Linked DNA regions of Rhinolophus ferrumequinum. The main gene of each other region encodes a partner of the protein of the gene in region 4 in a complex. Links are inferred from orthologs where the notes say so. Each region holds a gene or a part of one and is shown on either strand. Other genes may lie near its edges. The genes, in order: BRPF1, KAT6A, JADE3 and ING5.

Region 1 (7,780 bases), on a different chromosome or scaffold from region 4:
AGAAGCTGGATGCGTTTCCCAAGGTCACACCGTGATGGAGTGGAGGAGGTCAGGAACAGAGAAGGTATCTTTTGATACAGTGGAAATAGTGTAGCTTCAGAGTCAGAGGAACCTGGATTTGAATACCAGTTCTGATACGTACTGGCATGTGACTCTCAGTAAGTTTGGCACCCTTTCTGAACTGTGGTTTCCTCATCTGTGAAATGAGAACAATACCTACCTGGGAGGGTTGTAAGAATAAAATGAGGGTGTGGCCATAAAGCACCCAGTGCGGGGCCTGGAATGTGGCGGCGTTAACACAGTAAGTGCCACCATCATTAGTTGGGGTACTATTCCGTTCACTGGCCTGGGTGGACCAGTGTGCTGCTGCTGTCCTTTATCCTTGCCATTCTCCTATCTTCTGTTTGTAACTTCTCTCCGGCTCCTAAGCCCTGCGAGACCAGTGTTTCAGAGTTAGGAGGCAGAGGTGGCCTTACCGGTAATAGGAAGTCGGCCGGGGCGGGGCGTCAGGGGTGTCCTGCTCCAACTCCCGGTACACCACCTCTGGCAGCTTGGGAGTAGTGCTGGCGGAAGCATTATGGTGGTGGTGATGGTTCGAGTCCTTGCGCTTCTCCTTGTTCTTATGCTTGCCCGACTTGGGCGTCGTAGCCGGCGTCTCCGTGTTCTCTTTGTTGCTGCCATTCTCAGGGGCCTCCTCGGGAGCCTCCTCATCCTCTGACACCACATCCAGGTTGTCAAAGATGCTGATGCGGTGGACACGGCCATGCAGGTCCACCTCCACCATACGCTGGGCCTGTGCATAGCTCATCACCTCACGGCCCGGGGACTGGGATACTTCTGAGGGGCTGGGTGACTGCTTGTTGGCTGGGCGGGACTGGCGCCCCTTCTTCTTGTGCTTGCGGAGTGGCGTCTGCTGCGGGGGCGGCGGGTTGTCGTGGTCATAATGGTACAAGTGGTACTCGATACCACTGTAACTCTTGTAGACCTTGCGGCAAGTCTCCACGGGGCACTCATATGGTGGCTTAGTCGCCCGCAAGTTGTGGCAGAAAGTCTTCACGTCAAAGTCCACCCCCATGCTGTCACATCTGGAATTTATAGGTCAGTTAGCATAGACCCAGGAAGAGCTCCTGGCCATTCACTCCACTCCCTCCAGCCCTCCCTCTCCCCAAGGATCCTGGCTAACCCACCTCCACAGGATCTCCAAATGCCATCTGCTTCACACCATGGCCATAGTCTGAGCCTCATCACCTCTTGCCTGGTCATTCTAACCTATGTCTCAACTCTTCTAGCGTCATCTTGCATAACGTGGCCAGAGTGATCTTTCCACTAAGTAGCAACAATCATTTCAATTTCTTGGTTAAAAGCCTCCCGATGCTCCCTACTTACTTCAGGATAATATCCAAACCCCTATGACGACATGTAAGATGCTCTTTCACTGTCTGGCCCTGGTCCTCCTTTTTAGATTTTTCTTTTCACCAGTTACAGCTGTGCTTCTGTCTATCCAGGGCAATTTACCAGTCCCTGAATGTTATAACCTCTCATTCCTGCAAGATGATCTCTATTTGGAACACCTTCCATCCTCTGATTGGTAAGCTCCTACTCATTCTTCAAAACCCAGCTCAAATGTCACTTCTTCTGTTATGACTTCTTTGTCTCTCCTGTGGGGAACTGTGCTTCCATAGCTTTCCATTCTTACCTCTTTGTCTCCTACTAGACTGGGAGCCATTCAAGTGCAGTCACCAGAGCCTACCCATCTCTATATTCCCAGTACTTGGAATGTTGTGGACACTCCGTTTTCGGCAAATGAATGAATAAACTGTCAAATGATAACTAAATGAGGGGACCACCAGATTTGGAGCTGAGAGAGACAGATGAAAGCTAGTGTTAGCCCATGTAGACGCTTGAACGGGTAGCCAATGATTTAGTTTCAGTCTCCAGCAGAAATCACTGGATTATAGAAATAATTTGTTCATTTCTGAGCTCTTTTGGGGAAGCCTATGCCCTGGCCCTGGCCCTGGTACAGGCCCTACGGGTACACACAAGGCAATCCAGTTACACTCAGCTCCATGCTGGTCCTCAGGGCCCTCCCTTTCTCCTCTCCAGTGTTCCTAGGTGAATGGAGACAGCAGATGGCACCAGCCCCCAGGAAGTCCAGCTTGGTCAGAGACTGCCCCAGTTTCTCCAGGCATAGTGGAGTTTAACAATTCAGCTAGGGGCTTGGCACTATTCCAGGCAGTGCCACCCTGAGCTCCATGACAAACAGTGACCCCTCTAGGCCTCTCTCCTCCTGTTACTTAACCAAGCAAATGGGCGGCTTCAGACTCTCCATCAAAGTCCCTGACTTTCCACATCAGTAAAACTATTCCTTCAACTCCAGCTCACTTCTACTTTCTTCCTACCTGGGGCTGTGTCTTGAAACACAGACCAAGTGGAGGAACAAACAACCTCTCCACTTTCAATGAAGGGTCCCTGGTGAAGGCTGCGGCTCTGCTTCCCCGAGCAGATGTCCCGCTGGGACTCAACAGCAAAGGCACAGGGGAGGGAGCGAGAACTTAGACCTGAAAGCCCGTGGGTAGGGCCCGGGGCCCAGGGGTGTGGCGGCGGTGGAGCTCAAGGGGCTGGAGGAAGTAGGGGGCGGGGGCCGGAGGGATCAGGCCGGGCCCAGGCGGTGCCCGCAGCCCTCCCGGATGCGGCGACGTTTCCCTTTTGTCGAAGTGTAACAAGTTAAACAAGGCTCCCCGTCTTGCCATTGGCCCCGGCAGCCCCGAAGAATACAATTTTGCCCCAGGATGCCGGCTGGGAGTGAATGCCCTGTCAGTTCTCTCGGCTGGAGTGGCCCGAGGGGCACCCGGGCAGGGCAGCTCAGTGCGCCCCCACGAAAGTAGCCAACCCTTTCCCCGCTGGCCACTCCCGCCCAGGTCCCAGGCCCGCACTCACCGGCCACCTCGAGTCCGGGCTCATCGCCGGGGCTGCCCGCCGGGGCTCCGACCCCACTTGGGGAGGCCGGCGGGGAAAGATGGGCCGGGGAGGAGAAGCCCCAACTCCGAAGGCTGCAGACCTCGCCACCCCGGCCCCCTGCCGCCCCACGCTCTGGCCCCGGCTCCCCGGGATTCCCGCGCTGACCCCTGCCGCTCCGGGTCCCGCCGGCGCCCCGGTGTCTCAACTCCGTCGTCCGCCTCCCGTTTCGAGAGCCCCTAAGTTGCCGGGTCTTGGACCCGGCGCCGCCTGAACAATGGAGGCTCCCGGAGGCAGCGGGGTCGGCGGCAGCGGAGACGGTGGCGGCAAAGGCAGGGACAGCAGCGGCGGCAGCAGCGGCGGCGACGGCGTCTGCGCAGGGTAAACGTGGTGCCGCGGCGCTGCCGAGCTGCACTTTCGCCACAGAACCCCGCCCGCCCGCTGAGGCTCCAGGGGCCATACTCTGGGACTCGGAAGGGTCCCTGGACACCCCACAAGGTTTCTCTAGCACCTCCATCTTAGAGGTGAGTTTCTGGAAACTGAAGTCGCGGTACTCGCGATCCGGAGTGGTCGGGCCGTTTATGGCGAATCTGCGGCCACGGACGGCGAACGCGGGTCTGGGAGTGAGGAGCCCGCCCTTCTCCCTTCCCCCTCAGCTTCCTCCCTCCCTTCTCACTCCCTACTGGTGGCGCCGGGGCTGCGGTAGGGACCTGGCCTTGGTCTCGGAAGAAGGCGGCGAGGCGGGGCCGGAGCCATGGGGCGGGGCTGGGGGGCAGGGACCGGAGCATGAGGGACGCGGGCTGGAGCCTAAAGGAGGCCCGGAGTTATGGGTAGGGGCGGGGCGGCTGGAAGAGATTGAACCAGTCTACGGGGCGGGGTTTGCGGAGAGTGGGTGGGGCCATCTGTAGAGTGGGTCCTAGTAAGAATAGGGACTGAACGAGGGCTCAGGGTGGGGCTAAACTGAAGAGTGGGCCTGGGGAGCTGGACTAGGGAGAAAGGATAGAGCTGGGAAAAACGAGGGGAGGCTTGAAGGGAAGGGGCGGGGCTTGAGTAAGGTAAAGGGGCGGGACTGGAGGGAAAGGGCGGGACCGGGTTAGGGACACCGGGGTGTGGCCGAAGGAAAGGGAAGAATCTTGGGAAAGGTAAAGGAACGGGACTGGAAGGAAGGTGTGGATCTGAAGGAAGGGGCCAGATTTGGGGAGGTGCAGAGGGCTGTTGGGGTGTGAAAGGGCTTGTGTACCGTCAAATGGGATTCAGATGCCAGGAACCCTGTAGGTTGGAGGGGAGATGCATCATGGCTGCAGGGATGCCGGCTGGAAGATGGTTGAAAAATAGACAGCTGGTTTTAATGTGGCTGGGCTACTTAGTGGCTCTGTGAACTAGTGCAAGTTGTTAAATTCTCCCTACCTCAAATTCCTTATTTGTAAAATGGAGCTTGAAAGCTTTATTGTTAATTCATGGGGGCTTTGGAGAACTTAGGCTGCGGAGAGTTGACTTGTTAAATAATGCTTGTCGCAGAGCTTCTCCAGTTTTGCCATCAAGGAAGGGAGTGAATGCCCTGTCAGTTCTCCGGGCTGGAGTGGCCCGAGGGACACCCGGGCAGGGTATTCCGTGGTTCTGGAACAAAGCCCAAAGGATCTGGAAGCTTCACTTTTTTGTATTGGGGAATATTGGGGGACAGTGTGTTTCTCCAGGGCCCATCAGCTCCAAGTCGTCCTTCAATCTAGTTGTGGAGGGCGCAGCTCAGCTCCAAGTCCAATCACCGTTTTCAATCTTAGTTGCAAGGGGGCTCGTGAACTGAACCAGCAACCTTGTTTTTGAGAGCTCGGGCTCCAACCAACTGAGCCATCCGGCTGCCCCACTTCACTTTTATGTTAACGCATACCTTGCATTCTACCCATTATAATATATGTGTTTTCGTATATAATGTCTTCCAAAAAAACAATAAAATTGACACTCCAGGAAGATGTTTGCTAGTTAAGATGTTGGGATCTGGAGTCAAACTGATGAGGTCTCTTCAATAAGTTACTTTATCTCGTGTGTAAAATGGAAATATAGTGCCTATGTCACAGGATTTTGTGAAGATTAAATAAAATGATGCTTATAAGTCTCAGCCTAGTGTGTGATATGTAGTGAACACTCAAACAAAACATTAGCTATTTTTTATTATCCTCACTCAAAAAAATAACAAATGGGTCAGAGCAGAGTCATACAGTCATCTTAAAGTCAACTACTTTTCAGGTCAGGAATCCCTTTGAGGGTCTGATGAAAACTATGGCCTCTCTGAGAAAAAAAGTATACACACACACACACACACACACACACATAGTTTCACTTATTTCTGAAAGTGTTTAAAGAATGAGGAAATGATCGGATGAATATGTATTAGGATGGGGATGAACCCAGCTGAAGCCATCCTTGCTACCCGTCCTTCTCTTGGTGGGGTGCCAGGCCCTGGGTCCCCCAGTCTCCCTCCCCAAAACCAATGAGACAGAGGTGGAGTAAAGATCAGCTTTATTATTTGCATGAAGGCAGGGAGGTGGTGAGAGTGCCAGGCCCTTCTGTGGGTGAGGGGGCACAGGGCTTGACCAGCCAGCACTGATCCTCCAAGCTGGCCTTCCAGTGAGTTCCAGGGCTCCAGGTGCCTCTGGCTTTCAGCAGAAGCAGTGGGTGGGCATGTGGGCAGATTGCTAGGCATCGGATAGGTAGGCCCCTCAGGGCTGCTCAGGAGCTGGGGTTGGGTTGGGGTTGGCAGGGGGTGGAGGACGAGGCTGGATGTCTCTGGTGCGCATATAGGACAGCAGCTGCTCCGGGATCTCCGCCAGCACGTCCTTGGCTAGTCGGGCCATGCTCAGCACCTGGTTCCCCGATCGGTCGACATAGTCTCGGAATGGGACAAACTGGGACAGGCAGAGATAATCAGGTATGGGTGGTGGCCAGGAGAGAGGGGAGTGGGGTAGGGGGCAGTAAGGGGGCTTCCGCTATGACCCCCTAACATCTCTTTACAAATATCACACTATCTCTCTCCACCTATTTTGTATAGTTTTCTGCATTTGCTTTCTCCCCACCCACTTCCCCTCCACACACCTTCTAGTTACTCTCAACCCACTCCAGTTTGGCTTCACGCAGTTTACTGCAATGGCTTTTGCTAAAGTCGTCAACAGCCCCATATTCCCCAATCAGTCCAGTGGGCAGTAATAGTCAGTCCTCATCTTGCTTCTCTTCAGCTTTCCATTCTTACATTTGACCATAATCTTCCTGGACACTCCTGACACACCACACTCTGCTGAATTTTCTCCTACCTTTCCGGATGCTCCCTTTCCCTACTCCCCTAGACCTTTGGGTCTACCTGATCTATAAACTGGTCCCTTCTGTCTATCAGTTGTCTTCCTGGGTGATTTTATACACTTCATTAACTAAAACCTGTTCCCTGGTGACTCCCAAGTGTATATATCCACCCCTAGCCTCTTTTGTAAGGTCCAGATCACATACTTAGTTGCCTGTATCATATCTCCGTTCAATTGCCCTAGATACCTCGAACCCAATGTGTTCACAACTGAATTCTAGCCTGTCCTGCCAAATCTGCTCCTCCTTCACCTTTCCCTTTCCCAATAAATGGGACTCTCACTCACCCAGTTGCTCAAGCTAGAAAACTGAGTCATCTTTGAAGCCCCACTCACTCTCCATCACCATTTAATTAAATCAACTCTTGTAAAATTTTTCTTAAATAATCTTTTGAACCTGCTTCTATCCTCACTGCTTCCATTCCCAACCAGATTCCTTTCATCTCCCCTCTACTACTACTTCAAAGGCTTCTAATGGCTCTCCCTGCCTTCTCTCTCACCCTGCTTCAGTCCATCCTCCATTTGCAGCAGCGATCCTCTTAAAATGGAAGTCTGACCATCTCACTCCCCTATGTAAAATCCTTCAAGAGCTTTTCAATTCTTTTGGAGTAAAACCCCAAATGTTCACCATGACTGACGAGGCCTTGGCTCCTTCTTTCTCTCACTTGCTGTGATCTTTGTACCCTGGCCTCTTGCCTTTTCTGTGATTGGGCCAATTCTTCTGAGCCTCAGGGCCTTCTCACGTGCGGCTCCACTGCCTGTAATGTTTATACCCTCCTTTAAGTTTCAGCTCAAATGTCATTTCCTCATGAAACCTTTCCTGACTACCCTGTTATAGGCTTTTGTAGTGGCATTTGCTGTTCTAGGGAGCACTTAATCACAATTTAGTGAGGTATTTAGCTGTGTGATTATTACTGGTTGCCTCCACTAGAGGGCAGGGGCCTTGAGGATCTCCTATACTATGAATCCACAATGGCTGCAGCAACCTGCCTTTTTCTCACCAAGATTTTGTTCAAGGAATGCAGGAAGGCTGAAAGAGTGAGGGGAGAAAGGTAGGAGATTAAGAAGGCAGTAAGGTAGAGTGGCTGCCAACTTGGCCTCTCCTTCCCACCATGCCTTTCAGCTCCATGACTTCCTCTCCCTGGTGAGTCTACCTGAACGATGTCCCGCTCTGCGTAGCGTCCTCTAGAGGATACGCGCACATCGTCACCATCCAACTCTTCCATTGCTGTAGAAAAAACACCCCTCAGCTGATTGGCCTCTCCCACATCAACCCATGCTGGCCCCCTCCCTCTTAACTCCACTTCGAAGTCATGAAAATGCCTAACAGGTTATATCAAAAGTCCTACAATTATTAGGCATTATTATGGAGTTACTATTGCTTCCCACACATTCCATCCTCCTGGGAATCCCAGGAGGGAAGTATTCATATCAGCAGCCTTGGTTGTGATGAGGAAACAGGTTCAGAAAAGGTCTGTGAC
Region 2 (7,744 bases), on a different chromosome or scaffold from region 4:
TTCACTTTTTTTATGGCCTCCAAAATCCATTCCGTATACAGCGGATTAGCGAGTTTTACCATGGTGAAGGATTCGTATATCCATAGAGTCGTTATCCCTTATCCTGATGCTGAGTAAGTTTTACACCATGGAAAACAACATTCTCGGAGGCTGAGAACCAGTTAACCATAGCATACAAGTTTTCTGGCCTAAGTCCTTCCTCCTTTCATAAAATAGATGCCTCCCCACTTTACTTTAGAAACCGCAACTACCAGTTATTTGAAATGTCTTCAAACTTCCCAATAAATTTCTCAATAGCACCACATGTGGGTCTCTTCATAAAGTTGTAAAAACTCAGGAACATGTCACTCCCAGCAGAAGAATGTTTATCTTATGCCTGAAAAACAATGAAAACAAAGTCAGTTTTCTATCAAGTCCCACTTGTAAATAAGCTATAACTGAAACATCCTAGTCTTTAAAAGCAATCAAATAGCAAGTGTTTATTGAGCACCTGTAGGAATTTTAACATGTTTCTATCAACATTCCAAAACAATCATGTATGTAAACCACTGGGATAAATAAGAAAAGAAATGAAATGAGTAATTAGAATACAATGAGGAAACAAAATGAGATGCACTGTGAATAACCTTAGACTACAATTAACCAGAGGGTGCTGGCTATTCTGTGTGCCATAATCTCTGCTCACCAGTCTATGAACTGAAACTCTTCCTTGACATCTTTCCCCAAGAAACTATTCAGCACTTCAACAAGTATCTGGATTAGTAGAAAGAATCCTGTAATGAAAGTAAAAGTGAATCTTTCATCTTTAAAATTCCAGACATTCAGACTGGATAAAACAGTCAGTAGAATAGGCAGAAAACAATTAAGAAAATTTTAACTATTTCATACATTAGAAAAACAACAAATACAATTTACACACACAGATCAAGTTCATACTTTAAGTGCAATATATACTTTAAACATTCCAAATGGAAACAAAAATAATATGAAAAGTAGTCAAGTGGGAAAAGTGCTTAAGGAATTTTTAAATAATCCAATTTCATTCAAATTTCAAGAATTACATGCTGATAGCATCTCCTAAGCCAAACTAAAGTACTTGGAGGGAGTAACAACTGTCAAAATGTTCATAACCAATCTACAGAGAGAGAAACTAGAAATGAGAAAGGCCCAGAATCATTATGTTCAAATGCACAGACTACATATCAAACGTATGGTACAGAAAAAAATTTATTCCCTGTTTGCCAGTCTACAAAGATCTCATAAAGATTCAAGACTGCTGTCCTGAAATGAACATTAACGAATGAAACACAAACATAAATATACTGCCTCTCCAGGATCAAAGTCAATATTCTTCTTTCAGACAAAAGAACCTGGCATATACAAATCTTTTTAAAAATCACCAAAATAATGAATTTTCACAATCTAAACAACTCCTCTGCTTTCAAAACTAAATTTAATTTTACTTTTGTGTTTTTTAGAACCTCTGTTCTTAATCTGAGGAACATTTACATTACAACATAAACAAAAGAAAAAAAAAAAAAAATGGCTCCCACAGCAATTATTCTTACAAGTATCATTAAAATCCAAAGGAAAACTAACAGGTATTAGGAAAGGGATAGTACTATTAACTCGGATAGGAAAAAAAAGGCTGAAGTAAACACTCAAATCTGAGCCAAGATTTATTTTTAATCTGACTAAAAAGAAGCCCCCTGAGAGCTATGCTTCATTTTGGTGAGAGTCTCGAGAGAATAGAAATCATACTATTATTACTCCACGAAAGTTCATTATGTAGATATTAACGCTAAACTAAATAAGAAGCTACAACCTGAGTTTAAGAAGTTGGAAACGTAATTGATTAAGCTCGCAGGTAAAAGAATGAATGACAGTTATTCATTGTCTCTCCGGCCGGGATTTTCACTAGTGTCCAGGTCTTACCAAAGTAAAGGGCCTGCAGACTTGAACTTTACACCAGCGTCTAAAGAGAAAGCACAACTTGCTTCCGACAGTTCTTCCCCGGCCTCCATTCCCCACCCACAAACACATCTTCGCGCTCTCTTTTTAAAGAGCGAGAAACTTTAAAAACTTGGAACAGCACAACCCTGAAGCTTGCCAACGGGTGGCTTCGCCATTCCCATTAGATGGAAACAGAACCCGAGGACTAAGTTAACAATGAAATCACGTGAAAGAGTTAAGAGCAATGTATCACCCGTTCCCAGCTCCTCCAAATCCTCAGCTCCACAGAGGCGGGTTCCAAGGAGGGTTTAGGGCATGCAGGCTACCCGAAGAGCCTGACAGGTCCGGCAGCTCCTGTCCAAACCGGCCGACGATTGACAAGCAGCCCGCCGCCTCCCCTCCCAGCGTCCGGGCTGACAGCCCGACAGACACAACACCACACGTGCTGCCTCCTCCGCACCACAACACCCGCCAGCCTGTCACCCCCATTTGCCGCCTCAGCCCCTCTCGGATCTCCGCACACCCGGCCGCAACCGAAGAGGGAGCGCCCCGGAGCGCGGGCAGGAGGGGCCGGGCGGGCCTGGGCGGCGAGCGCCGGGCGCAGGTGGGGCCGGGGAGGTGGGCGCGCCCCCGAGGGAGAGCGGGCTTGCCGGCACGGCACAGCCCAGCCCGAGGCTCTGCGGCCTGGGCCGCTCGCCGCTTGCCCACCCGCCGACTTCCCCGGCTGGGCCCGGCCCGCCGGCGGGCGGCGGGGACCTTGGGCCGGAGGCGCGCGGACCACGGGGCGGGGAAAGCCGGGCGCCGGCCGGGCGCGAGGGGGCGGCCGTGGCGCCCCAGCCCGAGGCCTGGCGCAGAGCAGCGGGAGGCGGCGCAGGCCGCGACGGGGCCTGCAGCCTCCTGCCGACCCCGCGAGGCGGCGGAGCGGGCCCCAGAGCGACTCAGCCTCGGGTTCGACGGCTGGGGGCGGCCGAGGGTGGCCTCTCGGCTACTTACCGGGGAGGAAGAGAGCCGGGATACCAGGACCCCGGGCCGGACCGCGGAGATGCCCCAAACTGACACGGCCGCCATCTTGGAGACAGTGAGCTCCGGCCGGGGGGAGGGGAGGCGAGGCGGCGGAACAGCCGCGGGGGGAGGGGAAGCGTCGCGAAGGAACGGCTGCCTGGAGGAGGGAGCGGCAACAGCCCGGGAGGGAGGCGAGGGGGGAGGAGGGAGAGAGAGTGCGGGAGGGGGGCGGCAGAGGAGCGGGAAGAGCTGGGCCGAGAGCCGGGAAAGGCCGGAGGGCGGGGCGGGTAAGGAGGGAAGAGCGGGCCGGGCGGGTCACGTGGGGCCGGTACAAAAGGCCAAAGCCAAAGCGGGAGGAGGACCTGATGGGGCTGGAGGCCAAAAACTGGGGGCTCTTTCTAGCCTTTCACACACGGTCAGGTCGGGCAGATACCAGTGAGAGGAGGAGATGATGTATCCCCATTACACAGCTGGGGAAACTGAGAGCAGACGCATGGGTGGGGTGGCTTCAGTGTGGCACGGAAATCCGGTGGCCAGACGGGCTCTGAACTCTTGATGGCGTTTGTGTTTACAGTTAGCAGATCCTCCCTCCCCACTTATGTGCCCTCAGCCCACTTCCACGGTGACTCTCCCGGAACCTGAGGTCGGGAGCTTGTGTGGTGGGGAGGGGGCGAAGGGCAGAGAGGAAGTTGCCTCCCTTCATCGTTCCCCTTCTGCTCACTTTACTCACCCCACACATCTCACTCCTACTGTAGGAAAAAGAGGAGGTGTGTTGAGAAGGGAGAAAGGGTAGAAACTTAGACACTCGTGTCAAGCTCTTTGTCAAGTCACCACAATGATTTCACCCTCCCCACAAATGAGACTTGTTGGACCTTACTAGAGACGTTTTCATAGAAAACAGCATAGACGAGGGTCGTAAGATTTACACAAGGTCACGGAGCTATTTTGTGGCACGCATCTGAGTTTGGAGCCTAGATCTGCCTTACTCCAACGCCTGTCTTCTCGTGCCCTATGCAGAATTGCTCTTGTCCGAATTTATGGCTGAACCACGAACTGGCACTTTTTTCATAGCATGTCTGTCCTCTACTGGTTTCTTTGTCTTGTCTCTCGAGATTGAATCATACCCTTTTTAAATTTTATTTACTACATTCATTGGAAAGGCAGTAAATGACAAATGAAAAGACATACTAAATCGTTAATAATTTTGTGTGGAAGTATTTTCCTGCTACTAGACCTTTATCTGCTTTGTGCATCCTGCGTAGACTACCCTGTTTCCCGGAAAATAAGACCTAGCGGGACCATCAGCTCTAATGCCTCTTTTGGAGCAAAAATTAATACCAGACCCGGTCTTATATTATGTTGTATTATATAAGAGCCGGTCTTATAGTAAAATAAGACTGGGATATTATATTATATTACATTATATTATATTGACCAGGTCTTATAGTAAAATAAGACCGAGTCTTACATTGATTTTTACTCCAAAAGACACATTAGAGCTGATTGTCCCGCTAGGTCTTATTTTCCAGGAAACACGATATTTTCTCTAACATCTCATTTTACCCCAGCTTTACCTTTTAAAGACCACCCTCCCACTCACTCCCTTAACTTCCATGCTTACTTCCTTTTCTGAACTTTTGTAGTACTGACCATTTGCCCTATTCGTTTGACAGGATGTGTGGCCTTTGTAACATTGTATGTTCTTCTAGAATGCCTCTTTGCATCTCCATTACTGTGTTACAAGTAGTACAGACTCAAAACGTTGCTAGTGAATGAAAATTTTTAAGCCACTGAGAAAAAGACGGAATTTCCACCTCCAGCTCAAACCTGGTGTATTCCTCAACCTATACTTTCTTATCTCTTAGCTTTTCTCTGCTCTAATCCTTAGACTGTCTAGACCACTCAATAACAACATAAAAACATATTTTCAGATGATGGTCCAGCCAACTCAATATCCTAGTACTGACACTGAGAACATAAATGTGGTGTGGTGTGATGAGATTTACTTCATCACCCTCCGTCACCTACTTCCAAGCCCCATTGCCAAATTAGGAGAGAAATTTGGAGGTACAAGTTAATCTATTAGAAAGGATATTTTTCATCCTAGATGAATCAGACAGATGCGTTCTCAGGTAAAATGAGAGCTCTTTGTGAAATGGAAATACATACAGGAAAGAAAAGGTGGAGGGAGATTCTCTTTTAAAAGAATAAAGAAAGGTTTTTATTTCCCAAAGAGAACAGATAAAGTCATGTTAATAGAAAGAAAATGAGTTCTTCGCGTGAGACTAGTGTGTGGTCTTCAGAAGAAAAATAACATTTACAGAGATGAACTGTGTTTGCCTTTGGATAATTTGGAAGAAAACTAGCTACAGCCATTCCTGTGAGAAGACCAAACTAGAGTACAGTAGCAAGAATTTAAAACAATTTGCAACAACAAAGAACAGTTTAGCTTTTCAAACAGCTTCCATAGAGAGTCTTTGCTTTACATTTGCATAACTTGAGGGCACATTCAGGAGGTCTTCTCAAAAGATCTGCAACAAAGACAGATTAAAGTCCTCGTCTTTCAAATGTTAAAAAAAATCCACAGCACTGAACAGACAGTTTTTCTTGCTTCAAACTTGACTCAGAATTCAGCCCTGCAGGGTTGCCAGCTATGTTATTTCCCTCATCCACATTTTGCACTAGGAATCCCTGCCTTTTCACTTGTAGTAGGTAGTTACATTTTTATGCTGACTCTAGCTAAGCCTAAAATTGGAAGTTTGCTCTATACTTATTTCAACAGGAAACGCTTTTAGTCCATTTACATTTAATATAATTACTGCTGTATTTGGATTTCTACCTGCCATCTTGCTATTTATTTTCTTTTGTTCACTTACTTTACATCCCTTATTCTCTTTTTTGCCTTCTTTTGAATTAATTAAAATATTTTAATTATACCATTAACCTCTATTAGCTTATTAGTTATACATTCTTTTAGAAATCTTAGTAATTACAGCCTGCCTATTTGACTTATTACACTCTAACATAAATAATTACTTATACCACTTTCCCAATAATGCTAAGACCTTAGAATACTATGTCTCCACCACCCTTCCACTTTTGTGGTTTTTATTGTCACAGATTTTAATTGTGCATATACAGAGGGTGCCAAAAAAATGTATACACATTTTAAGAAAGGAAAACTGTATTAAAATTGTAATACTCAATATATACCGATAACAAAAGATGAATACAAGTCACGTTTGTCTTCTGCAATTACAAGAGGTGCTCAAAGTGGTTACCATCAGCATCCAGACACTTCTGATGACGGCGAATTACTACTTGAGCAATGTTGACCAAAGTGTCCACTTGTATACATTTATTTGGCACCCCTGGTATTTTAAGCCATACAACATTTTATAATTATGTGTTTTCTACAGTCAATATTCATTATATTCACCTACATATTTATTTACCCTTTATGTTACTCCTTGTTCCAATATACATTTTGGTGCTTCTGACTGGAATTTTTTCCTTCTTTCTCAATAATTCCTCTGTTCATACTGTAGTAGGTCTGCTGGTGACAAGTTCTCTCCATTTTTGTTTGCCTAAAAACTTCATTTTATCTTTCATATTTTTGCTGAGTATAGATAGCATTCTAGTTTGGCAAATTTTCTTTTCAGCACTTTAAAGATGTCCTTTTATTGTCTTCTGGTTTCCATCATTCCATTGTTATTCCTTTGGAAACTAATATCTTTTTTCCTCTGGCTCCTTTTAACATTTTTTTTCTTTAGTTTTCCACAAATAATCTGTGATATGTCTAGATGTGATTTTCTTTGTATTCATCCCACTTGGGTTCATGAGTGGCATGTGCCACTCGTGAAGTCCTTTGAATTTGTAGCTTGGTATCTTTTATCTGTTTTCGAAAATTCTTGGTCTTATCTCTTTTTTCCTTTTAAGACTTCGGTGACACATATGTCAGAATTTTTCATTGTTTACCATCTGTATTTACTACCATTTTTTTGACATCTTTCTTTATGCATGAGTCTGTGAATTTTCTATCCATCTACCTAAATCTTCTCTTAAATCTATTTATTGAATTCTTAATATTGGTCATTGTATTTTTAAGTTCTAGAAATTTCATATGATTTTTTAAAAATAAAATCCAATTCATTTGGAGCAATTCTCCATCTTTTTATTTTCTCCACCTTTGCCTATACTTTCTTGAACGTATAAGTCTAGCTATTTTAAATCTCTTCCTGATCATTACAATAGCTAGATCTTCTGTGGATTTTTTTCTATGTATATTCTTTCCACTGACTTTTGGTCAATTTAGCAAATTGAGTCTGACATTATATATAGTGGATAATATATTATGGCCAGCTGGGTTTAATCCCCGGGATGCAAGGCTGATTTACCATTTGAAAAACCAGTCGATATAATTCACATTAGCAAACTAAAACAGAAAAAATTCATATGATCAATTCAGCAGATACAGAAAAAGTATTTGACAAAATCCAACAAATATTCCTGATAAAAATCTCTCAGCAAACTATGAACCTTCTCATAGTGATAAAAGGGCATTTGTGAAAAATCTACAATTACCATGATACTTAATTAAAGACCAATTAAACCATTAAAGACCAATTAAAGACCAATACTTTCCCTTTAAGACATGATCGAGACAAAGGTGTTGGCTGTCACCACTTCTATTCAACACTGCTCTAGATTCGAGACAGATCAATAAGTCAGGAAAATAAAAAGGCATTCCAAATTGGAAATAAATAAATAAAGATCTTTTCTCATAGAT
Region 3 (7,280 bases), on a different chromosome or scaffold from region 4:
AAGCAGTAGTTACTTGGTCTGTAATGACCACTTGCTAGCACTCTTTTATTCGTTCACCACTTCTACCTTCTCATTCTAGATCCTCCCCACCCCACAAACCAGAATGCTTCAGCTTTCCCAGCCACTGTAACTGGAACAGGTAGAAACTTGTAAACCATTCAAGTGTCCCACTAGTAGCCATTTCAGGAGAGTGCCAGAGGGGTGTCCCCCAACACCCATCCCTCACCTATAACATGAGGTAAGTAAAGGTTATAGTAAGTTATCCCGATGAGAGAGTTTCTTAATGTTAATGTCAGCCAGCGTCGGACCTCTACCTTCAACCTGTGTCCCTTCTCAAGGCTTGTAAGAGCCCTCTGTAATGCCATGTCTTCACGAACATCCGCTGCTTCCTGCCTCCCCAACTTCCCCCCAGATACTTGCCTAGTTCTAGCCAGACCTCAAAGTAGTGGGCAAAAAGAAGAAATGGCTTTGTGTAGCTTAGGGGAGAAATGGGTTGCTGTGGCAGTGAAAACACAAGGGAGGGAAAGGACAAGCATTATCAAAGAAGAGGACCATACTCAACCTGAACGTCTTCTACACCCTTTCTTCTTCATGTCTCAACTCTGATGAGAGCTCCCAACGATCATCTGTCCTGCCCGAGAACCTTCTCTACAGGCCAGATGGTGGGTCAAGGCTGCTTCCAAGTCACTCCTGGCTCCTAGCTGACACTTCAGGAAGGAGTTGGGAGCTTCACAGGCTCCTACTCCTGAGAAGGCCAAGCCAGAGCATGGCAACTCAGAAACCAGTGAGCCAGAAAGTGTGGGTTCTAGAACCCCTGAGTATTCCAGACAAAGGCACTGTTTCACGGCAACAAGACTGGGTTGAGAGCTCTTTTCTAGCAAACAAAACTATAGAAAAGCACAGTTGAAAAGGTGGCAATGATGGTAGCTCACACTGAGAAACACTTACCAAAACACCTCATGTAATCCCTTCACCCCCTTGAAGAGAGGTATTATCCTTCTACAGTTCAAATATTTAAGCTCAGAGCTCACTATAAATGGAAAAAAAAGATATGTTATAGAGGTAGAATATTCCTCGGCTAAACAAAAAAGGAAAAAAAACCATCTATTCCCAATTATCTGGAGAGTAATCATATGATGTTTTATGAGAACTACACTATTCAAAGTGTACAGAGGCTGGGATCCACATTCCCATTGTTTACAGATGTCAAGAAAGTATTAAATTAAATAAAAACAATGCTTTGTTCGGGTCCACTCCTTTCTTACCCCCTCTCCCCCACCCCCAGGCTGACAAGAAGTGGCTGCAGGGAAGGTATTTAAGAGAACTACTCTGGGAAAGTGGATTCTGGGTTCCTTAAAGTAAGCCAAGATATTGTGCAACTAATCTTTACTTAAATTATTTTAGAGTTTAGAGAGAAGCAGACAGTTATCTTTATCAGACTGAATACAGGGAACGAGGTTGTCTTTCCCTCCAGGCCAGTGGAATCACCCTCAACATGGTTTTGATTTCTTATACAATCAGACGGCGGAAGGTGGACGGGGGGACGCTGGGATCTCCTCCTCAGCTTCACAGATAAACGGATCTCACTTTAAAAAAATCTCGTGCACATCTGAGGCCATGTATTTCCTTGCAACCCCGAAAGTCAGAGAAGCGCCCAAAAAAGTTTCCTGCCAAATGCCTAGGCGCTCCATATGTCCCAGGGCTACACAATGCTACCAACTTTTAAACATGCCTTCACATTACCACCATTATGGTCACTCGCTCGAGATCACGCCCCCCTTCCCTTCTCCCAAATAATAAACGCAGGTTGCCCTGTGCAATTTAGAGACAGACTTCTCCGAAGCAGTGGCTCTGAAAAGAGAGAGAAAAAGATTGGAGGGAGTCTATATATTTTTTTTAATCGATTGCCCCACGGCGGAGAGAATAAGACCAACTTGATCGCTGGAGAAAAGTTAACTTTGCCGAGCTCAGCGGTGGGAAATTTTCTCCAGAAGCGTCGCAAAGCCCTTTTGCTTTTCCCACCCCCCGGACCGCCCGGCACTCGGTGGTCGTGGCGGACCCGGATCAGCAGCGCCAGAACAATGACGCGAGGGGGAGGGAAAGTTCGCCAGCCCGCGGGGCGCCCGGGCTCACCCAGGACCTCGCCGCTCCCCTCACCGCCTACCCCCCTCCGGGCTCACGGTTCTTCCCGCCCCCCAACATCGAAACAGCCAGGGCGCGCCCTCGCTCCCGGGAGCATCCGGCTCCAGGCGTCCCGCAGAGCAGGTCCTCCAGCGGCGGGTCTGACCCCGTGAGCCCCGAGACCAGGCAGAGGACAGGGAGCGAGGGGGCGTCGGGAAGGGGCACCGGAGGGATCCGCCGCAACAGTTATGGCGCTCCACGCCTGCCTGAGTGTGGCTGCAGCCGAGCTCGGGCGCCCGCCCCCGCCCCCCGCGCCGACCACTGCCGGTCACTTTACCTCAGCGCACACACGCTCTCGGCCCCCAGTCGCCTGGGACGCCGGAGCGACCTGGAGCGCCGCGAGGTTGGGCCGGGACGCTGCGCCCCTCACCGCCCGCTCCGGCTCCCCGAGGCAGCCCCTCCCGTGCCCACCCGGCGCGCCGCCCCCCAGCCCACTCGCATCGCGTCCGGCCTCAGTGGCGCCTACCTTCGTGCAGCCAGTCGAAGCTCCCTCCCGGCTCCACGCTCGGCCCGGCACTGTGCCGGGCGAGTCCGGTTGGAGTGGTAACCGCCCCCCGAACTGCTCGCTTTCTTCTCTCCCCTCCCTCGCACCTGCCCTCCACCCGCCCCCCGCCCGATCCGCTGGGGCCGCCCCCTGCGCCTCAGCTCCCGCCCTCGGCCCTCGCCCTCCGGGCCCGTCAGGCCTCAACGCCCGGCGAGCGGTTGGGCGGCGGCGGCACCGCGGCGGCTGAAGCGGCGCGGAGCACTATTGTATTCCTGACACTGTGGGCTCCCACGCTCCGCCTCTTCCCCTTCCTTCCTCCCCCTCCCGCATTCCCCCCCCACCACCACCGCTGGCCGCGCTCGCCCTACCGGACTGGCTCCCCGCCGACCGCCGAGCGCCCTTCTGGCGGGCTGGGAGCCGTTGCTACCGCCAGAGCGCCTCGAGGCTCCGCCCACCTCGTGCTCCCGCACCCGTCGCGCGGTGCTCCAGGTGGGTTTCTCTCTGCTCCTGCTGGGTGCGCTGCTGCCGCCAGGAGCCTTGGCCCCGCCGTGTGCCAGGGAGGACCACAGGAGGTGCCTTGGCTATATTCAAATACAAACTAAGCTTTTCACAGCCCCCTTTAACTCCGAAGTTCTATAAGTGGACCCTCATGTAGAGAAAACTCCTCGTCTGGCACTATTGATTTAAATCGTTAGCGCTTGGATTACCCATAAAGATAAAGCCAAGGTGGCTATTCACAGAATACACTTACAAAGTTGCTTCATGATGTTGTGTAGTTTTTTGACGTGTCCACTTGGTTAGGTTACAGCCCCGAGTTATTCAATCAAACATTAATCTAGCTGTTGGTGTGAAGATATTTTGATGTAATTAAAGCTCCTGATCAATTGATTTAAAGTAAGGGAGATTATTCTGGATAATCGGGGCGGGGGGGGTGCTGATCATTCCTTTCTGTCTGTGTGCCCTACAGATTTTGGATTTGCTTAGCCAACCCCACAATTGTGTAAGCCAATATCTTTGAATGAATGAATGAACAAATTTTATAGACATAGATATAATGTCCTATTGGTCTGCTTCTCTGGTGGCATCCTGACTCATAACAGATGTTTAGGCAACAAAACCTTTTTGATTTACCTGTCTGGGTTTGGCTGTGTACCCTGTGCAATTACCATGAACACATTGTCATTTTCATTGACATGTCTAGGCTAAACACAAATGTGGGCTCTTTTATATTTTGTCTGTTTTCCATATTAAAAATAATTCTATTTTATAATATGCAAATGTATGAGTTCTAAAATATTCGTAGTCCTTCACTTACATCATTTATTATACTTCACTTACTTTGAAATAATTATACATTAACAGGATCTGTACAAAATATTACAGAGCAGTCCCATGTACTTTTCCCCCAGTTTTCCCCAATGGTAATATCTTATACAACCAAGATATTGACATTGGTACAATCCACAGACCTTATTCAGATTTCACCAGTTTTACATGTAATGTTCTGTATCTGTGTGTAGTACTATGCAATTTTATCACATGTGTAGATTCGGGTAACCACCACAATCAACTGTTCCTCTACCACAAAGATTCTTCCTGCTACCCAATATAGTCACTGTCATCTCCTTCCTCTAACCCAACCTCTGGCAACCACTAACATGTTCTCCATCTCTATAATTTTGTTATTTCAAGAATATCATGTAAATGGAATCATACCTTTTGAAATTGGCTTTTCTACACTCAGCAGAATTTCCTTGAGATCCACCCCAATTTGTTGCATGTTATCAATAGGTCATTCCTTTTTATTGCTGGGTAGTAGTATTGCTATGCTGTGGATGCACTAATTTGTTTATTCACCCATTGAAGGACATTTGGGTTGTCTCCAATTTTTGCCTATTAAGAATAAAACTGCTATGAACATTCATGTAGAGTTTGTGTGTGTGTGTGTGTGTGTGTGTAAACGTAAGTTTTCATTTCTCTGTGACAAATGTCCAAGTGTGCAAATTGTTGGATGAGATGGTAAGTGTAAATTTAGTGTTATAAGAAACTGCCAAAATTTTCCAGACTGTCTGTACTATTTTACATTCCCACGAGCAATGTATGAGACATCCACTTGCTCCACATTTTTGCCGGCATTTGGTATTGTCACTATATTTTTATTTTACCCATTCTAATTAGGTGTGTAGTGATATCTCTGTTTTAAATTGCATTTCCCTAGTAGGTAGTGATGTTGAACATCTTTTCATGTGCTCATTTGTCATCTGTATCTTTTTTGGTGAAATATATGTTCATGTCTTTTGCCCATTTTCTAAATATATTATTTGCTTCTTACTGTCAAATTTTGAGAATTCTTTTTATATTCTAGATACAAGTTCTCTGTCAGATATGTGGTCTGCAAATATTTTTCCAAGTCTGTAGCTGGTCTTTTCATCTTCTTAAGAGATTTTGCAGATGAAAAATTTTAATTTTGATGAATTCCAACTTATCAATGTCTGCATTTATGTATCATCCTTTTGGTGTCACCTAGCTCCAAGTCCCACAAATTTTCTCTTATATTTCCTTTTAAAAGTGTTATAGTTTTATATTTTACATTCAAATTCATGATTCACTTTGAATTAATTTTTGTATAAAATATGAACTTAAGGTCATGGTCCATATTTTTGCCTGTGGATGTCTGATGGCTTAATCACAATTTGTTAAAATGACTATCTTTCTTCCATTGATTGCTTTTGCATCTTTGTCAAAATCAGTTGGGCATATTTGTGTTGGACTGTTTGTATGGGGCTATTTCTATGTTCTCTATTTTGTTCTATTGTTCTATGTGTCTATCCTTCTGTGAATATCAGACAGTCTTGACTACTATAGCTATAGAGTAAGCCTTAACATTGAGTTGAGTGATTCTTCCCACTTCATACTTCTTAAGATTTGTTTTAGCTATTCAAGGTCATTTGCCTCGCCACATAAATTTTGGAATGAGCTTATCTATACAGATACCTTGCTTGGATTTTTATAGGAATTGTGTTAAACTTGTATGTCAATTTGGGGAAAATTGACATCTTGACTATATTTAGTCTTCAATCCATGAACATGATATGCGTGTCTGTCCTTTTATTTAGATCTTCCTTGACTTCTTTCATCAGCATTTTGAAATTTTCAGCATACAGATCCTGTATGTGTTTTGTTAAGTGTATGCTGTGTTTCATTTTCTTTGGAGTAATCATAAATAGTATCGTGTTTTTAATGCCAGCTCCCTCATTCATTGTTCATTATTAAGTTTTGTGTGTTGATCTGGTATCCTTCGACTTTGCTGAATCCCTTATTAGTTCTAGGAGTTTTTTTTGGTAGATTCTTTGGGATTTTCTACATAGACAATCATGTTGTCTGTGAATATGAATATGGGTAGTTTTATTTCCTTTCCTATCTGTATGCCTTTTATTTCCTTTTCTTGCCTTATTGTGCAGGCTAGAACTTTCACTATTATGTCAAGTAAGAGTGGTGTGAGTGGACATGCTTCCCTGTTCCCTATTTTAGGTGGAAATGTTCCATCTTTCATCATTAAGAAAACTGTTAGCTGCAGTTTTTTTGTAGATGCTCTTTACCAAGTTGAGAACATACCCTTCTATTGTTAGTTTCTGAGAGTTTTGATCATAAATGAATGCTGAATTTTGTCAAATGCTTTTTCTGCATCAATTGATACAATTTTTCTTTTTTAGCCTGTGGATATGGTAGATTACACTGATTGAATATTGATTTTTGAACTAACCTTGCATAGTTGGAATAAGCCCCACTTGGCCATGGTAGAATTCTTTTTATACCTTTCTGGATTCTATATCACTAATATTTTGTTGTAGATGTTTGTGTCAAAGTTCATAAGAGAAGTTTTGAGGGTGTTTTTTATACTGTTTTTGTCTGGTTTTGGTATAATCCTGGCTCCATAAAAAGAGTTGTGAAGTTGTGCAGAAAACAGTTAACGTAGCAGGCCCATGGTGGGCATCTGGAAGCTTGGAGGTCCGGAGGGTTTCCACCATTCCCAGAACTGATAAAAGGGGCTCACTATGCCTAAACTGTTTGTATAAATGTGATTTATGCTGGGGCTAGAATTCAAGTCTCCTGATTTTCAAGCTGTGCAGAAAAAGAGTTAGCAGCAGGTCTGACTGCTGTTCTTTGAAAGGCCTGCTTGCAAGGCTGGTCCTTGGATGGCATCTGGAAACTTGGATTTGGGGTGAGTTCCCACCATTCCCAGGACTGATAAGAGTGGCTCACTGTGCCTAAACTGTTTGTACAAACAATATGGTTTGCGTTGAGCATCTGCTTTCCTTCTGGGAGTCTGGAATTCTGGTAAGTGCTAGGCAGAGGGTGCCTACATGACCAACTCCCAGTAAATGCCCTGGGAACTGAGTTTCTGAGGAGCTTCCCTGATAGAAGACATTCCACATGTGTTGTCACAATTCTTTACTGGAGGACTTAGGTACGTCGTATGTGACTCCACTGGGAGAGGCCTCTTGGAAGCTTGTGCCTGGTTTTCTCTGGACTTCGCCCCAAGTGCCTTTTCCCTTTGCTGATTTTGCTCTGTGTTCTCTTGCTTTAATAAATCATAGCCATGACTCTGACTATA
Region 4 (7,478 bases):
ATGATGTCAGCATCTTAGTAATTCTCTTAGCTTTTCCTTCCTGGTCACAGGGTGACTGCAGCATTTCTAGGCATCCAGTCCTTGCTTTGTGGCCCTGAGGTGGGCACAGGAGAGCCCTTGCAGCTGGACGTTATCTCCTTTGTGCTCTGCTGCCCTGGCCGGTCTCAGGCCCGATGCAGCGTGTGTGCCCAGTATGAGGGTGGTTTCTTCGTGCTCCCGTGGAGTCCTTCCAATAGGCAGGCGAGCACCAGGGTGCCCACTGCATGGAGGAGATGACGGAATGCTGGGTCTGAGTGTGCTTGCAGACTGGTGACACAAATGTGGTCCGAAGTTGATAACTGCTGAAACTGGTTGATGGGTACCCGGGGTTCATTAGGTTCTACTTTTGTGTGTTAGATTTACTATTAAAAGAGAAAAGACACAAACCCTTTTACTGTCCTCAGTGTGTTGCACCTTCCGTCTCACAGGAACTGTGTCAGACATTGATACTATCCATCAACGTCTCTCTTTTAGCTGGGCCGCCATAACAAATACCACACATGGGACGACTTAAACATCAGATTTATTTTCTCACAGTTCTGGAGACTGGAAGTCCAAGATCAAGACACCAGGAAGGTTGATGTTTGGTGAGAACTCTTCCTTTGGGTGGCAGATGACTGGCTGTGTCCTCACCTGGCCTTTCCACTGTACAAGTGTGGGGAGGGACGGAGAGATCTCTGGTTTCTTCTTTTTAATTACCTCTAGTCACATTGGAGGTTAGGAATTTGAACTATGAATTTTGGGGGGCTATTCATCCATAGCACTTACCTACTTCCAGAAGAAGAGACTGTGCTGGGCACATCACTGCCCTGCTAGAATCCATTTCCCAGCTCTCCTTGCACTTAGATGTGGCCAGGTGACGAAGTGACCACTAATGAAATGTGAGCAGAAGTGGCATTTGCTCCTTCAGACTGCAGACTGAACTTTCTCCCTCTTTCCTTCCCTGCCTTCCTTCAACCCAGCTTTGACCATGAAGATGATGGTGAACCCTTTTGGGAGTAGACATCGTGCTGGAAGGAATCTGGGTCCCCAAGTGATGCCATGAGCATAGCTGCCTGCCCCTGGACTGTTAGATAAGAGAGAAAATTCTATCTTTTTTTAACCACTGCATTTGGTTGGGTTTCTTTGGTAGAGTAGCTTAGCCTTCCCTTCAAGCACTGGTTCTCAATTGGGGGACATTTTGATTATCAAAACTTTGGTGAGGGTGCTCACAGCATCTACTGGGCAGAGGCCAGGGATGCTGCTAAATAGCCCCCAAGACACAGGACAGCCCCCACAGCAGGGTATCGGGCCCAAAATGTCAGTGGAGCCGAGGCTGGGAAACCCCACACTAGAGTGTATAGCAATGAAAAGAGGTAGTAAGGCAATCAGCTCTCACTCTGGCAGCTTCTAAAACAGGGTCTCTAAGAGAATTCGTCAGTTTTCTTCTGTGCGTGAAAGACAAACTTATTTGGCAGAAACTATTTATATGACACAATGGGCATGATATATGATTTATTATTCTCTATGATAATAGTTATTTTTTAGATGAAAGGCAAGAAGACCAATTTCTCCATGGATAATGGGTAAAGGACGTCAAGAAAATTATAGAAAAACTACAAATAGCCAACAAATCTGTGAAAACATGTTTAGACTCACTTAAAATGAAATACAAATTGAAACACCGAGGTTGGTTTTTGGGGTTTTTTTCTATCATGTTAGCAAAGATAAAAAACCCTGATGAAATCTAGGGTTAACAAAAATGTAGAAACATCCTTAGTGGGGTGTCAGTTCATTTAAAAGTATCAGCACTGGGGTGGCTGGTTAGCTCAGTTGGTTAGTGTGGTACTAATATCACCAAGGTTGCCGTTTCAATTCCCACATGGGCCACTGTGAGCTGTGCTCTCCTTAAAAAAAAAAAGAAAGCATCAGCACTTAGAACATACACTACTCTTTGAGCCAGCAATACCATTTCTAAGAATATTTCTGAAAGAACAAAGGCAACATGGTAATTAAAGATGGCTACAACCCTTGCTACTCCTCCCATTGAGAGGTGGGGTCTAATTTCCCCTCCCCTCAAATTGGGGTTGGCACTAAGGAATTGCTTGACCAATAGAATGTAGTGAGGTGATGTCTTGGGACAAGAGTCTTATAGCTTCCACTGTGGCCTCCTGGAACTCTCTGGAAGCCCCGAGTGGCCACAGAAGAAGTACTACTGCCTGGGACCGCAGGGCTGGAGAGGCCACATGTAGGCACTCTGACCCAAGGTGCCAGTTGAATGCAGCCTTCCAGCCACCCCAGTGATCTCTATGGTATCACAAGGAACAGGAGAATCACCCAGCTGAGCTCTGCTGGGATGCCTGACTCATAAAAACTGTGAGCTGTAATAAAATGGTTCTTTTAAAACACTGTTTATTATGCAGCAATAGGTAACTGGGACATTTGTATGTCCCTACCTCTATATGAACCATTGTTGACCAGAGCATTGCTTATAGAAACACTGTACATTTGTAAGGAATTGGTTCAAGTGTGGCATAGTGACACAATGAAATACATCTAGCAAACAGGATGAAGAATTGAGCAAAACATGGCCAGAATCCATGAAGCATATTAAGTGAAAGATGTACATAGTGAAAAAGTGGATAGTATGACTCGCCAATAAGAAAACAAACAGCCCAACTGAAAAAGGGGCAAAAGATCTGAACAGACACCTCCCCAAAGGATAAATACACATGGCAAATATGCACGTGAATGGTGCCCAACATCATGTTCTCAGGGAAGTGGAAAGAGAATGGGGCACCTCTACACGTCTATTGGAACAGCCACAATTCGGGGCAGTGACCACACCAGATGCTGGAGGGGATGTGGAGCAGCAGGAACTCTCAGTCACCTCCGGGAGTGGGGTGTGCAAATAATGCAGCCACTTGGGAAGACAGTTTGCAGTTTCTTACAGAGCCAAATGTAGTCTTACAGTGTGATTCAGCATTCACACTTCTTGGTATTTACCCAAAGGAATTGAATATTATGTCCAAACAAAAACCTGTATGAAAGAAACAACATACCAGCTTTATTCATAATTGACAAAACTTGGAAGCAACCAAGATGTCCTTCAGTAGGTGAATGGATAAACTGTGGTCCATCCAGACAATGAAATATTCAGCATTAAGAAGAAAGGAACTATCAAGCCACGAAAAGACAGGGAGGAAACTTAAATGCATATTACTAGGTGACAGGAGCCATACATACTGTGTGAATCCAACTGACATTCTGAAAAAGGCAAATCTATAGGTGTGGGTGGGGGAGGGCAGGGAGAAGGATGGATAGGGGGAGCACAGGAAATGTTGAGGGCAGGGAAACTATTCTGTATGATGCTGTAATGGTGGATACTTAACTGTATGAGAGTGAACCCTAAAGTAAACTATGGACTTAATAATGATGTATCAATATTGTTTCACCCAATTAATAAATGTACCACACCAATACAAAATACTTATAATAGGGGAAACTCTATATGTGTGGAGGGAGTATATAGGAACTATAGCATCTCAATTTTTCTGTAAACCTAAAACTGCTCTAAAAAATAAAGTCTATTAATTTAAAAAACCTCGCCACTTAAAAGAATAAAAAAGGTGGACAGTATTTAAATTACGTGTGTGTGCACGTTTTCTAATCAAGCATTAAATGCAGCCAGAAAGAATGTACCCAAACTACCACTTGGATTCAAAGGTGAACAAGATTATCACAGTCCTGCACCCAAGGGGGGGGAACTGTATGTTCTTGTATAGTTTGAATTTTTATGATGAACATACAATTGGCCAAAACACGAATACGCTTCCATTTTTAAATATTTGGGGTTTAGCGAAGACTTCAGTAAAGGGGGATACATCTTAATGCATTTTTCAATAATGAAACTACTGCTCATTCATTTGTCAGGGTACGCCACTTGTAGGACCAACTCCCTTAATCTCAGGGGCCAAGTAGGGGGTGTGGTTCCGGGCCCAGACCCCTTCCGACTAATGGCCAGCTGTCCATAATGAGCGGGCGGAGGTCCCGCAGAACCCCTTCTCCGAGGAGCCCTGGGAGCAGCCAGCGCTGAAGAAACGTGTGCGCCGGCCCAAACACCGCTTTAACCCCCACGAACATGTGTCCCGTCTCCCCGTTTTTTTTGCGCGCATCCGGTGCACTTCGGTGACCCCCTCGTCCACTGGAACACGTTTGTCACTCCTCGCAGGCACCTACTCTGCGTCCAACCCCATACAGGAGTGGGCGTAGGCTCCCCGAGCCACGTGTCAGAGTCGGTCGGCCGAGTGGGCGGGGGCACGGGGACAGGAGAGCGCCCAGATCTTGCAGTTGCCCCGCCGGCGGGACCCCAGCCCCGTACCCGCGCGACACCGCTTGCACCCCGCCGACCGGAAAGCAGGGGGCGGTCCCTGCCATCAACCCGCCGCCGCCGGCCGGCCAATCAGCGCGCAAGCTTCATTAATAGTGAACGTACCGGCCCCGCCCCCTTGCCTCTCGCGGCGCCGCCCGCCCGCGCAGACCCAGAGCGCGGCCGCGGACGAAGATGGCGACCGCCATGTACTTGGAGCACTACCTGGACAGTAAGCGTCCCCCGCGCTCCCTGGGCCGCCGCCCGCGTAGGGCCCTCCCTGCCGTGCCCCGCCGCACGTCAGGACTCGCGCGCGAACCCCGGGGGTCGTGGAGACTACGGGACTCCAGGGGGCGACGGGGCCGCGCGTGGGGCGGGGCGGGTACGAAGGAGGGACGCGCGCGCGCGGGGAGGGTGTGTGCAGCACAGGGTCCCGCCATCGCGGCCGCGCCAATTCTATATGCGTCATGGCGGGGCGGGGCCAATGCGGGCTGCCCCGCCCCTTCGGCTAGGCCCCGCCCTCCTCTAAACAGGCCCCGCCCGTTTCCTCGGCCCCCGCCCTTCCGCCTCCGCCCCTCCCCGACTGGCGTCTTCTTTCCTGCCTACGCCCCGCCCCTGTGAGGCCCCACCTTCTTTGGTTCGGGGCCTCTCGGTTTGGCCCCGCCGTCTCTCCCAGGCCCCGCCCTCCTTCGATAGCTCCCACCCTCTCCGCATCCACCCCTCCCCGATTAGGCCCCATCCACCTCGGCTCGGCCCCGCCCCTCTGCCGTCTCGGTCTCGGTCCCGCCCCCACTGCGCAGGTCCAAGAAAGTGATCCCAATCCCCTTGAACTCTTCGGGGGCTCCGTGCCTGGGGTCCCCGGGTTCGCTTCTTGGCTCTGAGCCTCAGCTTGTGCATTTGCAAGATGGGGAGGTGATGCTGGCGTGCAGGGCCTCCCAGGGTGCCTGCCTTTCCGCGGGGGTACTTACGGGGCTCGTTAAGGTGTTCATGGCCAACGTCTCTGAGGCTCCTCCCGCAGGCGTCCTTCTGTTTACCTGTAGCTCAGGATGGACCCTGCTGACCACTCCTGAGCAGATGGTTATGCCCCTCATTTCGCAGAGGCTGAGTAGCTTGTCGGGGGCATGCACGTGTGGACTCTGGCTGTCTGGTTCCTGCTGGGGCATGGCCTGGGGGGATGTTGGGTGGGGTTGGACTGGGTGGCTCTGGATCGCTGTGCTGCACTGGGGATAGTCATGGTCACTGGGGCCTGGGCGCCCCTCCCGAGGCCGCTGAGAGGAGTGAGCCCCTGCTCTGGGGGAGACAGTGGGGGTCAGCTTTCCTCAGGGGGTCGCCCAGTCCTGTCCATTTGTTGCGCTCTGCCTGCCCATCCTGAGCACTTGTAGGGTTAGACTTCCCGCATTGTCACCGAAGAGGCCGGTACCCAGCTAGGGAGCACGGCCACTTGCCTTTCTGTGTCCCGCTGCCTGCCCAGTGGGCCCTGTGGGAGGGTCTGAGGAACCTGAGTCACATCACGTAGGTACCTGCTCACTCCTCGAGCACCTGCTGTGTGCCAGGGAAACAGTCACAATCCCCATTTTCCTGACACCTGTCAAATGGGCAGAAGTACTTTAGAAAGCTCACAAGATTAAGGGTTGTGAAGGAGCCCAGCAGACCTTGAGAGTCTTGCAGAGGCCTGAGTGGTAGGACAGGGCAGGAGGCTGGGGAGTCTGGGGGCAGGGCTGGGACTTTGGGCGGCTCTCGGGGTGAGCTGGGGAGTGCTGGGGCTTTAAGCAGTGGCTTTGAAACATTATGTTGAGCTTTTAAAATGACCGCTGGCCACTGGCCGGTGGGCAGTGTGGAGGGGGCCGAGACCTGATGCAGGAGCCCAGTCAGGGGCTTGTGGAGGCTGTGCAGGCTGGGAGGAGCTTGGCCTGCACTAGGAGGATGGCTGTGCAGGCTAAGCAGCGTGGGGCGAGGTCCTCATCATGTGCCGTTCAGCACGGCCTGTTTAACTTGAAATGAATTAAACTTGAGCGAAATTAGAAATTCAGTCCCTCAGTGGTACTAGCCTTGTTTCATGCATTCAGTGTCCCTGTATGACCAGTGCCCATGTTTTGGGCAGCTCAGAGCACATTTCCATCCTTGTGTAAAGTTCTGCCCAACAGCACTGGTCTGTGCTAGCAGTGCACTGGGTTGCAGAGTCAAGTGGGGGAAAACCAAGGAAGACTCCAGGATTTGGGACGGGCTGGCTGTGGGGAGGGGTTTGGGGTAAAAGGTCACACGGCCACCTTCTCAGCCTCTGCTCATAGCTTGTTTCTAAGTTCACCTCCAACTTCTCCAGCTTTGACAACTTCTGAAGTATAGTGGCCTGTTACCAGTGTTTGGTACTCACTTGTCCCTACGTAAAAGATTTCTTAATCCTTGTGCTCCCAAACCCTAACAGAAACAGAAGACAAAGTGGGCTTATTATCTGCAAACTTTAGCTATAAAGTCAAGAGGGCAGATCTGTGTGCTGCTACTGAGAACTCCATGTCTGTGTGTTTCAGGTATCGAGAACCTTCCCTGTGAACTTCAGAGGAACTTCCAGCTGATGCGAGAGCTGGACCAGAGGACAGAAGGTGGGTTTTTGCCTTCAGTATAGCCAGGGAGAGGTGGCACCAGGTACTGGAGTGGCACTGGGCCACCAGGGGACCCGGTGCAGAGGGGCCGCAGCCTCGCCCTAGGCTGTGGGTGTTTGACGGTGTCTTAGCGAGAGTGCTGATACTGTAAATCAAACTTTGTTCGTTGGATTCTTACACATCTTCAAATCACATCTCTATAAGTATCATCCCCTCCTTACACACAAAATATCTGTGACCTTTTTTCCCTTTAAAAGATTTTCTAATTTCAAACTATGTGTGTATAGTATTAAAAAATTAGTGCTTTTGATTTCTTGATATTTAAGTTCCTGTTTCTAAGCCTCACATTTTGCTGCTATTTCTTATTCTATTAACCTTCAGTTTTAGACTTTGTTCAGTTGTTATGGAAAATGGACTTACTCTGCAGTTGCCCCCACCCGGCTCATGCAGCTCGCCTCCTCTCCCGTCTCCCAGTGAATCTGAGTTGTGTTGGA

The links.
Region 1: ING5 (region 4) and BRPF1 share a complex: the UniProt entries of both Homo sapiens proteins name them as parts of the MOZ/MORF complex. The link is inferred for Rhinolophus ferrumequinum from reciprocal best matches to the Homo sapiens genes ING5 and BRPF1.
Region 2: ING5 (region 4) and KAT6A share a complex: the UniProt entries of both Homo sapiens proteins name them as parts of the MOZ/MORF complex. The link is inferred for Rhinolophus ferrumequinum from reciprocal best matches to the Homo sapiens genes ING5 and KAT6A.
Region 3: ING5 (region 4) and JADE3 share a complex: the UniProt entries of both Homo sapiens proteins name them as parts of the HBO1 complex. The link is inferred for Rhinolophus ferrumequinum from reciprocal best matches to the Homo sapiens genes ING5 and JADE3.

The regions. Positions count from the first base shown.
Region 1 is NC_046300.1:44,171,325-44,179,104, forward strand, and holds the start of BRPF1 (peregrin), read right to left. Parts: upstream 3,025-7,780; 5' UTR 2,938-3,024; intron 1,086-2,937; 5' UTR 1,076-1,085; coding exon 477-1,075; intron 1-476. Other genes in the region: CPNE9 (copine-9), read right to left, coding at 5,670-5,855, 7,454-7,527. UniProt on the Homo sapiens protein: Scaffold subunit of various histone acetyltransferase (HAT) complexes, such as the MOZ/MORF and HBO1 complexes, which have a histone H3 acetyltransferase activity.
Region 2 is NC_046287.1:58,404,399-58,412,142, reverse strand, and holds the start of KAT6A (histone acetyltransferase KAT6A), read right to left. Parts: upstream 3,069-7,744; 5' UTR 2,947-3,068; intron 774-2,946; exon of another isoform or gene 686-773; intron 377-685; 5' UTR 63-376; coding exon 1-62. UniProt on the Homo sapiens protein: Histone acetyltransferase that acetylates lysine residues in histone H3 and histone H4 (in vitro). Component of the MOZ/MORF complex which has a histone H3 acetyltransferase activity. May act as a transcriptional coactivator for RUNX1 and RUNX2.
Region 3 is NC_046284.1:86,935,926-86,943,205, forward strand, and holds the start of JADE3 (protein Jade-3), read right to left. Parts: upstream 3,065-7,280; 5' UTR 3,034-3,064; intron 2,948-3,033; exon of another isoform or gene 2,648-2,947; intron 1,031-2,647; 5' UTR 962-1,030; coding exon 949-961; intron 1-948. UniProt on the Homo sapiens protein: Scaffold subunit of some HBO1 complexes, which have a histone H4 acetyltransferase activity.
Region 4 is NC_046291.1:127,890-135,367, reverse strand, and holds the start of ING5 (inhibitor of growth protein 5), read left to right. Parts: upstream 1-4,405; 5' UTR 4,406-4,582; coding exon 4,583-4,619; intron 4,620-6,912; coding exon 6,913-6,984; intron 6,985-7,478. UniProt on the Homo sapiens protein: Component of the HBO1 complex, which specifically mediates acetylation of histone H3 at 'Lys-14' (H3K14ac) and, to a lower extent, acetylation of histone H4. Component of the MOZ/MORF complex which has a histone H3 acetyltransferase activity.